Alligator mississippiensis: one gene and its partner. The protein of the gene in region 2 purifies or fractionates together with the protein of the main gene of each other region. This does not show direct contact. Links are inferred from orthologs where the notes say so. Each region holds a gene or a part of one and is shown on either strand. Other genes may lie near its edges.

The links. Proteins that work in one complex are often made in the same cells at the same time.
Region 1: the proteins of YWHAE (region 2) and CDK18 purify together in Homo sapiens (affinity purification with mass spectrometry; 3 studies listed by BioGRID and IntAct, with this or other methods). This does not show direct contact. The link is inferred for Alligator mississippiensis from reciprocal best matches to the Homo sapiens genes YWHAE and CDK18.

The regions. Positions count from the first base shown.
Region 1 is NC_081837.1:40,972,404-40,980,294, reverse strand, and holds the start of CDK18 (cyclin-dependent kinase 18), read right to left. Parts: upstream 3,092-7,891; 5' UTR 2,848-3,091; exon of another isoform or gene 2,814-2,847; intron 1-2,813. UniProt on the Homo sapiens protein: May play a role in signal transduction cascades in terminally differentiated cells.
Region 2 is NC_081837.1:261,268-268,279, forward strand, and holds the start of YWHAE (14-3-3 protein epsilon), read right to left. Parts: upstream 3,035-7,012; 5' UTR 2,917-3,034; coding exon 2,853-2,916; intron 1-2,852. UniProt on the Homo sapiens protein: Adapter protein implicated in the regulation of a large spectrum of both general and specialized signaling pathways. Binds to a large number of partners, usually by recognition of a phosphoserine or phosphothreonine motif.

The sequences.
Region 1 (7,891 bases), about 41 Mb from region 2:
TCAGCCCTATGCCGCCTGTCTCTGGACCCTCAGTCACTTTTCTCTGTGGTCTGAAAACAATTTCGGTTCCAGGGGGACCGGCTGCCCAGCAGTACAGGCGGGGATGTCGGATGGCCGAGTGGCCAGGCAAGAGAAGAGCAACTTTAGTTGCAGAGAAAAAAACTACCTTAACAGGCACCTTGAATAGCAATGCAAGCAGGATACTGCTTTTGATTACAGATCTTCTCTGCAGAGTGAACTGCCTGCAGGATTGTAATGTGGGCCTCTGCACAACAGGTCGTGTTTGGTTATCTGTTCCTGGCTCCAGACAGCAGCAGCGAGTTTGTTTGGAAAGGGATAAGAAAGCCAATTCAACAGGCAGATCCCCCGCATGGATTCCATTTGCTGAAAGCAGCCAAGTGACCTCTTTAAAATTGGGCCCTTAATAGCTGCCCCGAAGCAGGTCAAAGCAGTGTCAGCCAGTTGGGGCCAAATCTTTTTGGGTTCAATCCACCAGTAACTCAAAAGGACACTCACTCCAAAGATCCTTTTCTGAGCTCTGTATGCCCTGACAAAACGAGCGCAGCGCTAGGAGTCAAGATCCTTAGGTTCCCATCCTAGCTGCATGACCTGGAGTGAGTCAGTTCCTCTCTCCGCTCTGTTTCCCCTTCTCCGGGGTTACTACTGAATAGAAAGCACCAAGGGAATGCCAACTGTGCTTTGGGCAAGACCCCAGACAGATGTCCCCAGCTTGCTGGAGCATCTTGGGTTTGCAATGAAGCCAGAGGAGTATTTCAGGGTGGGTAACGAAAGATAAAGTGTTCTCTGTCCGCAGAAGCCAGCATGGGGGCCGTGGATTCAGAACGGGTTCCACCTGAAAACCCCATCTCAGCTCGCGTCTAACTATAATAAAAGTCACACCGTGGATTTGGAATGCATTAGCTGAAGGTTTAAAACACCCCACTCAGAAACGATATAATACCCAGCAGGGTGCATGGCTGTATATCATCACCACCTATAATAGGTGTAGATGCGACCCAGTAACCACATCCCTGGACACGCACAAGCCAGCGAAGCCTGCCTTAGGCATCCATGCAAGGGGCTGGCAAGGCACGGTTGTTTAGTTAAGAGTGGCCTTCAGCACTGAAAACAACGCTGCGATGCCCTGGAGCCTTGCAAGCCACCCGCCCACTGCTCCACCGCTCTCCATAAGCACGCCTTGCGGCACAAGGCCAGGTCCAGCGTTACCAGCATCTCACTGATAGAGACCCTGAAGCACAGAGATTAAGTGACTCACCCAAGGCCATGCTGGGAGCCTGTAGCAGAGGCAGGGGTAGACCCTGCATCTTCTGAGGCCTGCCCTTCAGCCACCGTCGGACCGTCCCTCCCCTGGGCATGAGGGGACTTTCCGGCCCTCTGTGCCATTGCCTTACTGACTTCCTCCTAGGAAAATCCCCGAGGCCTGATTCCACCCTGTCATCCTCTGTCGTACTGCGTGAGCCTCCATGTAGGGATCTCCTCAGGCAGAGGGACCGGGCAGCATCTCGAAGCCCTATGGGATGGAAGGCTATAGAGTGCCTGTGATGCTGTCGCCAAGGGCCTGGAGCAAAAGGACCTCTCACCGTGCCTCAGTTTCCCACAAACAGGAAGCAACACTGTTCATCCAGAGCACAGCTGCACCTGGAGACCTCAGGCTCTTGCACTGGGTTGGTTTCTCCATTTGCTCCAAACCCTGTGCCCCCCCGCTCCCCCAAATGCTCGGCAGCCCCACTGAAGTAGCACCACTGGCTTCCCTGGATGGAAATCAGTTCTTCCCCCTGTGCGCCGCTCCTTGCTTTGAATGGAGCCTATTGCCTTTCCACTAGCCCTTTCCCTGCCACCTGGGCAAGCAAGCCCCCTCCTCCTCTACCTCTCGCATGCTGCAGCAGTGATTTGGCAGACACAAAGTGCAACCGTCCCTATGCTGGAGCCTCAGGCTGGAGACTGCTATTTCTTCCCTTGCGGCGCTGATGCCACCATTGAGCCCAGCAGCCTGCAGGGCTCATTCTGGCTTGCTTTCATCCAGAAAAGAGCCGGCTTGTGAAAGCATCTCTGGCGAGGGTTTTGGGTGCAGATCAGCTGTATCAGTATCGTTCCCTACCCCGCCGGTGATGAAGGAGAGGATGACTCTGGGGGCGATTTTCCCATGTACTTAGGAATGTGTGAGAGCCCGAGCGATGCACAGGACCGTGACAGCCACAGAAAGTGCGATGGGACACCGCGCTCCCACCCCACGAGGAGCATGTGAACAGAGGTCAGACACGGCAAACCTGTGTACAACTGCCTCTTCCCCTCCCAAGTGCAGCCCTGAAAAGTTTTGCCTTGGAGACCATGGCTTTCTCCTCTCCTCCTCGCACACAGGCCCCCACCTGAGACGGGCCGATGCCCGGATAGCAAACTCCCTGGGGTTTGGGAGAAGGGGGCGGTGGGAGACAGCAGAAAAGAAAGCTCCCACCCCAACCCTGACCCCGACCCCAATGCACGGGGCAATGCCACCCTCTGAGAAGGAGACCGGAAAATCGCCCTGCTCCGTTTGACACCAGCTGCCTTGCCTCAGTTTCCCCTCAGCTCTAACTCTGCCCCTGCTGCCTCCCCCATAGCCCAGCCCCCCGGCACCAGAGGAGGAACCAAGCCCCAGGGGAACAAGGAGGCTCTGCGGGGAAGCACGAGAGAGGGAAAAAGAAAGGGGAACTGCTTCTTTAAAGGCAACCCCAGCCTGCTGGCCCTTTGCTCTGTTTACATTGCCATGTTGCTGAAATGCAACTCCACAACCGGGAAGAGGCAGTTGTACTCACACGGCCGGGAAAGGAGACGCTTTCGCTCACTCACTCTTTTTTCTTTCTTTCTTTTCTTCTTTCCTTTTGGTTCCTTCTCTCCCACCGAGGCCCCCTTCGCTCCCCTGGGTCCCTGCCTCTGCTCTCTCCCCCCGCGCTCGCTGGGCCTCGGAAGTTCAATCCCAGGAAAGGTAAGGAAAGGTTCTTTCTGCAGCAACCTGAGCCAGGAGGCGCTGAGCAAAGGGAGGAGAGAGAGAGAGAGAGAGAGAGAGAGAGAGAGAGAAATCCTCCTGGTAGGGCTGGAGTATTTCATGTGTGACACTGGCCCCTCCCCACAGCTGACATCCCTGCCGGGCAACTGCCAATCCAGGGGTTTGGGCAAGCCCTGCTGGGCCCTGCCGCCTTCCCACAGGCTGTCCCGGCTGCGCAGGGATGGCACGGGCTGCCTTTCGGGGTGGCTGGAGCCGCACTCCCTCCTGCTCGCTTGGAGAACACGTCTGGGCTCTCATCTCGCCTGCTGCCAGAGCTGGGCAAGCATACGCACGCACACATGCATGTATATACACGTGCACACACGCATGCTCACACACCTACATGTGCACACACGCATGTACATACATGTGTGCACACACATGCTTGCACACGTATGTACATATACGTGCAAATGCTCACATACATGCATACACACGTGCACATACACGCACGTGCATGTACATACACATGCACATGCTCACATACATGCATATACACACGTGCACATACACGCACATGCACATACACGCACATGCTTGTACACATGCATATACACACACGTGCACATGCTCACATACATGCATATACACACGTGCATATACACACGTGCACATACATGCACATGCTTGCACACATGCATGTACATACACGTGCACATGCTCACATACATGCACGTCCATACACATGCTCGCACACACGTGCACATGCACACACATGCATGCACGCACACACATGCGCATACCCACCTTATGGTAGCAGTACAACACGGTGCACATAACGGTACCGTGGGTCGTTGCCGTGCCAGGCAGATCCAAGCGGCCAAACCTGGGCAGGGATTCCCTACCGCTCCGCTCCACACAGGCTCTGGCTCTGGGGTCCAATTTGGCCGACAGTAAAAAGAGCAGCCAGCGGGAAAAGGCGAACTCTGGAGCTGCCAGAGGGCTGGGACTCCAGCTGGTGGTGGAAAGGAACATGCTTCCCCTCGCTGCAATGGAGTGGTGCTGATTTACACCCCTGGAGCACCTGGTCCACAGCCATACCAATTCAGAGGTGCAGGCAAGCAGAGGAAAAAGGAGTCAGCAATGGGTCCAATTCAGATCCAGTGCCGGGCTCTGAGCTCCCCTCCCCAGAGATGGGGTGCTGGGTGCAGCCTGCTTGCCCCAGGGGTTTCACTGCTAGCAGCCGCCCCTTCTCCCAGGGATCTCAAGAGCGCTTTGCTGCTGCTCGCAGGAGCCCCTGGCAAGGAGGCACCCCAGAGGTGTCACCCTGGGGGGAAGGAAGCCCATCCACACCCTGGCTCTTTCCACTGGCCCTCAGGGACTTGCAGGGGCTATCAGCAGCTGCAGGCAAATGCTGACAGCCCCTGAGGCTGCTCTAACCCACAAAGGGAGAAAAACGGACCCTTGGGACCTCAGCACGTAGCTTCCATCTCCCCTCCCCTGGCACCTTCACTGGGGCCTGGAGGGATGAAGCTGTCTCACAGCATGCAAACTCAATGGCTCTGTCAAACCAGCCTACCTCTCCCCTCAACGCTGCTGGCTTTGGAATGGGTTTGCCTGCATCTTGTGCAAGGAAATCTCTGCCTACCGCATCTCTGCTGAGTTACGCACTTTTAATCATCTTCATCTTCCCCACTATTTACTCTATTATATTTAGCTTAACACAGGCAGCTTTCCAAAAATAGACAACCATGGAAAATATCAGGCATCGAGGGGGTGCCAACCTCATCTGTTTGCAGCTAATTAATTTCTTATAAACCCTGCTATGTGGATTCCCCTCCCCCCCCCAACCATCTTGGCTGTCACCAGAATTTCGGTAATTAATGTAATCTCAGGTTAAAATTTCAGGGCTGTGCAAAAGGATTCAGAAATAATTATGTGGTTGGGGCCAGGAGTGAGAGAAAGAGATGCTGACAGCAGACCTCTGCAGGGCATGGTACAACACCTGAGACACCAGCCAGCATAGCAGGAGAGCACAGGAGCGAGGGAAAGGGAGGAGAGGCAGATAGGATGGTGACCCCCAAGTCCAAGGGGATGCAGGCTTGCCCTCCACCCCTTTTCTTTCTGTCTCACGATGGAGACAGCCCCATTGCTGGGAGCCTGGGAGGCGAGCGAGGGGACAGCGTTGCAACAGCATACAGAACTGAGCAATGGGGAGAGAGGAGCTCCAGCCAGGCTGTTTCACCCCGATGTTGTTGGGTCACCTGAACATCTCTGCTCAAATGGCCCAACAAGGTGGATAGGTGCTGGGTGGGGCTTGGGGTGTGTGAAGGATTCAGCATCCCGACCCCAACACCAGGGCAGCTGGGAACATGCAGGCACGTCCCCTTCCAGCTCTCTCCTCTTCTGCAGGCTTCTCCAGCCACAACTTGTTGCACATCTCAGCAGACACCCCAAGGGCTGCATGGAGTTGGGAGGCCGGACTCCCCCTTTGCCCCCAGCATCAGAACAGCTGCCATTGCTGCTCAGGTTTGGGGCACACTGCAGAGGGCTTTCTGCTGGCTAGGGAGGACAGATGGCTTTGAAGAGAAGGCTGGGGGAGTGAGACATGGGACTAGGAGATCTGGGTCCAGCTTCCTGATCTGCATGACCTTGGGTGTGTCCCTTAGCTTCTGTGTGCCTCAGCACCCTGACCTGCAAAATGGGGATAACAGCCCACACGCTGTCTCCTTGTCCACCGGAGACTGCAAACTCTTTGGAGCACAGACAGTCTCAGTGTGTTGAAGTGCAAAATGGAGCTTTGATCTTAGCATAGTAGCGGTCGCTACTATTATAGTAGCTACAGTTATAGCCAAAGCTCTCTCCAGTGCTGTTAACTTGGCACCTTGCATTCGTTTAGAACCAGAAAGCAAAGCGCGACTGCAGGGAAGCCATATCTAATGAGGAGCGTGAGCCCATGGCTGAGGACAGACAGAGAAATCGCCAAGAGAAGCAATCAGCTTAGGAGGAAGAGCTGGACCTCGGTGCGAGAGGAAAGAATCCTAGAGCCAATTAGTGGCACAGACAGAAGCCAAGGAGCTGCATCCCCCCAGCTGCTTACTGGGCCATAGCATTTCTCATGCTCCAAAAAAAAACAAGGAACACAAGGAAAATACAAGGGAGTTTGCTGGCTTGCAAGGGAGAGGAAAAATTCCTAGAGCTAGCTGGCTGTTCAGACACCCTGGGAGAGCAGCCAGATTCCTCCAAATGTGAGATGCTCATCAGGATGTGGGTCAGGAACACAGCACGCTGGAACAGCACCAGATGCCATGCCGTGGACCGAGGCTGGACCCCCGTCACCAGCAACATCCCACAACAAACCGTCCCTCGGTCTGTGGAGGGCAGCAGGGTCAGACGGTCGCGGGTCCTAAATCTGGCACGTATCAGCAGAGGCCTCCGAGAGAGGGAGCGGTGCATTGCTGAGGTTGTGCCTGGAAGGCATGTTTCAAAGAAGCCAATGTAATGGCTGAGTGAAACACAGGCATGCTGGTTTCTAAGTCTGTGTTTTCTGCACCGTCCCACAGGCGTTCATGAAGAAGGGCTGCCGAATCACGTGTGCAAGCATCACATTTCATGGGGGGATGTTGCTGAACGCGCGCCTGTTGCAGGGAGGGTCGTTGGGCAAAAATAGGTCGGGTTCAGATGTCGTGACACTTTGCAGAAGCCAGTGACTGTGAGCTCTGCTCCTCCATGGGGGAGATCTTGCTCCATCCCAGTGCCCTGAGGCACAGAGCCGCCAGCAGGTCAGACCAGGCCAGTGAGCCAGGCTGTTCTCTGACAGCAGCCACAAGCTACTCCACTAGATGCAGCCACAGAAATGCTGTCAAGTTACTGGGGGGCAAATCCAGGCACCAACAGCTTAGGCTGCAGCTGGAACCTCTACAGCAGCAGAGACATTCCCATGGGAGATGGGCACATCTGTCCCCAACCCCCTCTCTGCAAAGGCCATCATTCCCCATTCTACCAAAGCATCTGCTAACTTTCCTGCTCCTAACATGGGGCCCCTGCTCGAGCAATCCCGTTCCTTGCTGCAAGGCTTCAGGCCGGCGATGCTAGTCGTGGGCTGCAGAGAAGGCGGGCTGGAGCATTTCTGGGAGCTGCAGAAGAGACTGCTGAGCTCTGAGCAGCATTTTAATCACGGGCACTAGGGATTCACCGGAGCTGCTCTTATCCACAGCGTTCGCCTGCAATCGGTGCATCGGCACCCTGCGGATCAAAGGGGATGCCCGGGAAACGGAGCAGCCCCACTGCAACACCCGGGGCAGTGCTCCACTGCAGACACCAGCGCCCACCTCCCCTCGCTGGGATGAGGGCTGGCATGTAGTAAGGGAGTGCTAGAGCTAGAAACAGATGCCGGCTCATTCCAGGCCTTCACAATGCGGCACATCTGACACTGTATTGCAGACTTGCCTCCAGCAGTACAGATGTACTCGGCTAATCCTTCCTCCAGGAAAGAAGGGGAAGGGAGCACGGTACCGTGCAGGGAGCTAGGGTGTGGACCTGCCACCGTAGTCTCCCATGTGCATAGTCTTACCCAGCAGGACGTGTGAGGGACCCTGTCCTTCAGCAAAAGTGGGAAAGCTGCCTGGCTTGGCTGTAGCCTACCCCCCAGGCAATGACAACAGAGCGGCAGCTGTGCTGGAGATTTGCACCCTGGCTTTAGCCTATGGCAGCCTCTTCACAGGCGGAGATCACCTCTCTGCTGTCTGCCATCCCACGCACTTTGCTCCATCTCCAAGCATTCACATCTGGGCAGATCCCAGAGGATTCCTGCCAAAGCACTTAGAGAGGATCATGTGCATCTTTTCTCCTCCGCTAAACCAGCTGACACACGCTCACACTTTGCTCAGGCGGAGGCACCCGATGGCT
Region 2 (7,012 bases):
GTTACAGTAGTGCCAAGAAACCTGTACCATCGACCAAATGCAAAGGATCAGATTTTCAAACCCCACAGGCCCAACAGGCTCTAACTACTGTTAAGATACCTGGATACCCACAGAAACATTTGCCCAAAGAGAAAGAACTAACAGATGCTATGATGGCAGAATGGTTACAAACACTGAAACTGGACATATTATGTTAGCGTTAATGCTGTGGGCAAGAATGGTGTTTCATATTATCTATACTTTAGATTAGTCTTACTGCTTATAAGTATTACACAGACCAATGATTATGTTAATAGTGCCACCTCCAAAATGAAACAACTTCACAAAACACATCACCAAGATCAACACAGAACAAAGCTAAAAGACTAATGCTAGTTACATTATTAGGCAGAAGTTTTACTTAAAAATATTTTCTCCAAGCAATAAAAATAAATAAATATGGGGGGGAGGGGGGGTTCACGAGCCTTGTTTCTAATCCTTCTTCCTAAAATACTGCAACTTGACATTTGAAAATAGTGAAGAACCAGATGTAGAGAGATATACAAAATTAAGAGGCAATCAAAACTTAAAAGCATACATTTCCTGTTTTAACAGCCAAAGGAAAGTGACCAATGATACTGAACTATGGTTTTAACTATGATTGGTCTTTAACTTGTTTCCCAAGGCCAGTTCAATTTGGCTTAAGATGTTCCAGAAAACAGTACTGTGATCTCTGAAATACTGATTTTAAGGCTTGCTTTTTGCTCAAGTCTCAATAACAGCTACAGTGATGCACATTTCATATGCTTTCACCACTTGAACAAATCTGGTTTTGCTTTTTTAAATGCTCATTCTTAAATGATGGGCAGAGAGTGGTAGGTAGCACCCTAGGGTGACCCTACAATCAATAGCTTAATTATTGGGAAGGGTTAATTGTTATGCAGAGAAGATGCCTATATCAGTGTTTAGAAGAAAAAAAAAAGCACTGGGCATTAGCAGGAATGAGATGCAGCTTGTATTAAGAAAATTCCAAAGAGAAGCACAACCCTGCCTCAAAGCCTCCTTAACAGTACTGTACACAAGCAAAGCAGCTCATGGGTCTCCCACTTAGGTCGTAACTGTGCCAGATGGGGTCATGGGAACAAAACAAACCAAAAAAGACCCCCCCCCCCCCCAACAGATGTAGCTATGCCAGCAGAAGTCTTATTGCAGGCACAGTTGCAATTACAGTCAACTTTCACCAGGCACTCCACACTACATCTACACTGCACACTGGACAACTTTTTCTAGTGCTAACTAGATCCCATAACAGCCTCTGAACAGCCTGGTACCCAATACATTTTAGAACCTTCCTCAGCTAATAAAAATGAGAAATATTTAAGTTATGAATTACTCTACCATTTCTTCCAGGCTTGTGGCTATCCTCTCAGGAAGAAAGTCTCCTGTATTAACCGCTGTCTCTGGCTCCATTTTGTGAATACTTTTCTAGTGCTAGCATATGCCACTGATAATTCCCTTTAGCAACAACTGGGATGACCCATAACCTAGTTCTTGTCATTTTTATTATCTTCCTCGCATTGCAAACCGGGGTAGGGAATATTGGTCATTTTTCGTTCTGATACTTGGGAAAGGTATGAGAAGCAGCCACCTCATGTCCCTGACCACACAGCAGGGAGAAAGAACCTCACGTGGACTGTACAGATACACATCTAATCCGTTATTAGTCACAACCCTTGATTAAGTTTTTATCTTCGCGATGCCATATGAAAGATCCAGCTCCAAAGCCAGAAGTTTACATCCGCCAGAGGACTGGGTCTCAGCCAGGACGCAACAGCACCGGGGTGCCTCCCTCCACAGGTTTCCAAGGCGCCACAATGTTGGCCCTCTTAGGCATGCAACTGTGTCACAAAGGAAAGCTAGCATTTCACACAGGAACGTAGGTGATAAAACACTCCAACGTGCTACCGGGGTTCTGAGCTCTTTGCAACAGAAAAACTGCTCTAGTATTTTCCTACAGTACAAAAAAGAAAAAGTGAAAACTAGCAGCTGGCATCTTCAAAGGGACTGACGCCTCCAGTCTCACAAGGCTGAGAAACCACTGCACTAGGGTAAGAGTGACAAGCAGGTTTTTTAATCCCTCCCCACAAAGCATGTGATCCAAGTGGTATTCCTGAAGTATAGCCTCCACGATTGGAAATAGGTGGTGACAGGCACCTTACAAGTATTTAGGATCATTTCCCATTCCTCACGTCTTGCGATTGGCAATGAACCTGGCGCAGCCCAGGAACCTTCACCAGCAGGACGAGGGCAGGCTGGGAAGATGCTGCACAACGCAGTGACCCCGGACCATTGCGAACACGAGAGGAGCGCATTTCCCGAGCATTTGCAGCGGCCTCCTACAGGAAGAAGTGCCCGTTATGTGCCCAGCGCCCGGGCGGTGAAGGCCCGGCGGGGCCGCGCCAGCAGCTGGCAGCGGAGCAGCGCGGCGCCGGCCCGGGTGGAGGCGGGGGGGAAGAGGAGGGGAGGACACGGCCGAGACCGGCCCCGGAGCCTCAGGGCGCGCCAGGCATCAAGCCGACCAGGCCCGCCGGAACCTTCCCCGCCGCGTCACAAGCCGGGCCCGGCGCAACACGGCCGGGCTTTGTGGGCCCTCGGGCGGGGGCGGCTCGGCTCGCTTCCCCTTCCCTTCTCTTCCCAGGACTCGCCTTCCCAGCCGCCATTTTCTCCGCGGCGCCCGGCAGCCCCGGGGGCTCCTGCCGCCATTTTGTAGGCCCCCGGCCGCCGCCTCGGCCCCCTGCCCAGCCGCCGCCATTTTGTGGCCGCTCCCTCCGCTCCGCCGCTCGCCCGCCCCGCCCCGCCAGGCCGGCCCTCACCATCGTAGCGCTCGGCCTGCTCGGCCAGCTTGGCCTGGTACACGAGGTCCTCCCGATCGTCCATGTCCAGCAGGCGGGGCGGCGTCGGGGACTGCGCGGGGCGGATGGAGGCCGATGAGTCCGCGAGGCTCGGCAGCTACCAGCTCACTGCTCTCCGGGCAAAGATGGCGGCAGCGCCTCCTCCCGCTGCATCCGGGCACTTCCGCCCGCGTGCGCATGCGCGCTGCTCCCCTGGCAACGGCGGCACCCTAGCAACCGCCGGGCCGGCCGGGCCGCGCCTTCCTGCGGCCGGGGGGGAAGGCGGCGGCGGCGGGCGGGGTCGGGCGCCGAGGCCGAGGCCGGCGGCGGCTTTGTCCGCAGCCCGCGGGGCTACGCCCTGGCGCTCCGGTCCGCGGCCCCGACACGAGGGACGAGCACGAGGCAGCGCAGCCGGCCCCGGCGTCCCCGCAGCCCGGGGATCCCTGCCGCGCTGCGGAGAGCGCCGCTCCGCCTCGGGCCTCGCTCGTTAGCGGCCTTTTGCTTTTACATAGACATGTTCTGTTAACTAAGAATGCTTTGACTCGTGGCGTTTTGGCGAGCAAGGGCCCGGGGGAGCAGGGTCTCCCCGCTCGGGAGCCTGCTCTCATCGTTTCAAACCAGTGCTCATCACACTCGGGGCCCCCCAGCGCGGAAACCCACCCCGAGATGAGGCTTCGCAGCCGCGCTGGTGGCGGAAGCCCCGCGTGAGGACCGTCAGGTGCTCGGGGCGGCGGCGGCCGGGCAGGGAGGAGCCGTCGGGGACGCCGCAGGCCCTCTCCTCGGCCAGCCCGGGGCAGCGCGCGCTCGCTGGCGGGGCCGGGCTGTTACGCGCTGGTTGGCGGAGAGCGGCAAGCTCCGGCTCTCCGCCCCGGGGCCAAGCACAGCCACGACCAGGATGGCCGCAGCGATAAATAGCTCTAACACGGGGCAACTTCCCCCTGAGTTCTAGTCTCACTTTGTACCAGACCATCGCCTTGTGGCAAGGGATGATAGTACGTATTAAGCTTTCATTTAAAAACACGCCCCCACGCCGCCTCTCCCATCCCTGGGAGTGCCAATGCACGTTGGCCTGCGTACAGACTCAACCCAAATTTAGCTGAGAAACGATCTCCATCTTCTAAACTTCAACTTCTGATACCTAAAAATGAATTTAACACGACTACTACTGCTTGCTTCCTTGCTGGCATGTTCTAATGAATGAAGGTGTCTGGTGAGAGTGTTCATCCCATAATCCTGGAAGTGAACGTATCAACTATTATTATAACTGCTCTTGAGCAAGAGAGGTGGTGCTGGCTCCTACCCTGGGGCTTTTTAAGAGGAGGCTGGATGAACACCTTGCTGGGGTCGTTTGACCCCAGTGCTCTTTCCTGCCATGGCAGGGGGTCAGACTTGATGATCTGTCAAGGTCCCTGCCGACCCGACCAACTATGAAACTATGAAACCTGTGAGAACTGCAATAGCCAAAGATGCCCAGCCACAGCAAGGTAACTCCAGATACAGCGCAGTAGTAGTCAGACAGGTCTCCCCCCCCCCCCAAACTGCCAAAAACATATATTTAACTGTTCTATAACTATGAAAACCTAAGAGGAATGAATATGGCGAGCTATACTCATGGTCAAATATTACTCTGTTAACACCTTAAAAGGATTGCAAGAGACATCAAAACTTACAAAACTATTATGAGCTAATATGAAGTGTGATTTTATTTGCTCCGCAAAAGAAAAGCTTTGGCATTTTTCAGTAAATAGGAGTTAGTGTTTTGTTTAGTTTTAAACAAAGCACTTTGTTTTCAAAAGCCTAAATGTTATTTCTCATCAGTTAAGCTTAATCTTATGCAAATGTTGCTTTCAGTAGCTTCTTATAGGTGAGCAATTTGCCAGTGCAAAAACTGGTACTGCAGACAATATTTTATCATTGCAAAGTAGTCTTTATATTATCATTGGTAAACAAATGGAAATCTTCCAAAAAACACTTTCTCTACAAGGACACCAAGCCATTTTTTTGGCTATTTTTTTTTATTTACTTCACATACTATGAACATATACATTACATGCTACAAAAAAATTAAAAGAATTTTTACTGTCAAGAAAGTGGATAGTGTTATAATACAATGGCACATGTTCATATATTTTTGCTTCAAACTGGTTTCCTTGACCTCTCCCCCCCCCCGCAATCATTAAGAAAATGAAGTGTTTTTACTCCAAGATGATTAGAAGTATTTGCATTAACACAAACAACTCAAACAGATTAACGAGACCGTTACCAGTTCAAAAAGTAGTTTTAAAAAGTTGGGGATTACTGAAATAAAACCATAGCAGCCAAGTTGTATTTTATTTAGTGTGATAAAATGTGTAAATGCACCAGAACACAGTGTAGTTGCGCCTTCTGCTTTCATGCTGTATTTCTAGAAATACGTTTTTTGTTTTAGCACCTGCCTATGCATGGACACACACACACACACACCCACACGCGCACACCCCCCCCCCCTTACAACTGCAGCCAAGCAGAGATGATGGAAAAAAAGAGGTTCCCTCCACCCCCTCAGAGACTGGGAGATGTGGAATAGGAGTGACAAAGGCCACAAGAGGATTTCACTTATATATTTATGGAAGTCCATTTCAACTGTCCTTGGAGAACCTGACGAGAGGTTGATACCTCTATTTTGTACAAATGCAAACATCCTTTAGGTCTGCCATCTGTGGAATAAACCTAAACTCCAGCTGAAAACTCAATAAATAGCGGAATGTTTGCAGTAATGTACTAGCTGGCTAAGAAAAAATGCTGGACAAAAACTTAGAAGTCTGCAGCAACATCAGCAATTAAGACTTTTTCTGCCATGTCAGTGTTTAAGAATTTGTGATTATAAAGTCTTCACAAGAGCCTAGCTACAACCTTAGTAGGACCATTCACTTACTTAGTAATAACAATTCCCATCTCTCCTTCTAGATTAAAAAAGGACATAATAAAACATTTCTTTCAGAAGATATGTGGGGGGAGGGGGGGGTTGCGTGTGTGCGTGCCAAGAATGTATGGGCTAGCGTTCTGTACTGTGGCAGAAAGAATCAATTTAAAATAGACTAAATTGTACTGCCCTACTGAGAACACTGAGCACATCTCTCCTTTGCCTAATTATCCTTTTCTAATACCTGAAGAAAAATAAATGCACATACAAGGCAATTAGGAAGCTCTGGGTTTAGAGCTGCAGGCATTGAGTGTTCAGTTCCAGTAAGTAGCAGGGTCCAAAAAAATAATCATACAAATCAGCTGTAAAGAAACTAACATTTTACTAAACTCATTATTAAAACATCTTTCAGCATTTTGGAAGCACTTTCTGTGCTAGTACGTGCAATCCCACCATCAAGGCCTGGGGATTCAATAGTAATGTAATCTCATTATGATCATCTCTAAGTCACTGCCACAAGGACAAATTAGTTGTCAGTTTTCCACAAGGTTTAAGAAAGCTGGGGATGGGGAGGGGAAAGGATTCATTAGTGTGCATCAGGCTTGCTCTACAGTATTATTCTGCACCCATTTCCTTAATGAAAATGGGGCAGACATACTGACCTGAGTTCTCAGATGATCCTTTGCAGTCCCTTCCAGCCTTATGAGTCTATGATTCTAAGTCGGGGCTGGGGGAAAGGTCAACAAATGTTTAATTACAAATAGAAAAAGGAGAAGACATGGCTGTTTCAGCAGTTTAATATTTCTCAGGTAAAACATTACCTGTGGCCTGCTGCAGCAGCCTCTGTGGCGGGAAGTAGCCCTTGCTACATTTACAACTAAGGGTTAAGAGACGTTCTATTGCTATTTATTTGTTTATTTTGACAGAATCTGAAAATACCCTGTCAGACAGGGTCACGATATATTCAAAACTGTTTTTCACCTTTGGCTGTTTTGGTCACTGAATCACTGTATTCCAAAAGAAATCAGTCCAAGATGCATGCAAGGGGTTGTTATCTCAGTGTTTAGTTTTAGTTTAAAACAAACCAAAAAATAATGTATCCACTGTAATTTGTGTTAAAGAAAACCAGGTATAGGTTAGTAGAAAAAGCAGAAAATCCAAATAATACACGACATAAAACACTTAATGCACTCATTTTTGTTGTGAACTATGAAACATCTTACGTATTTTTAGAATCAGA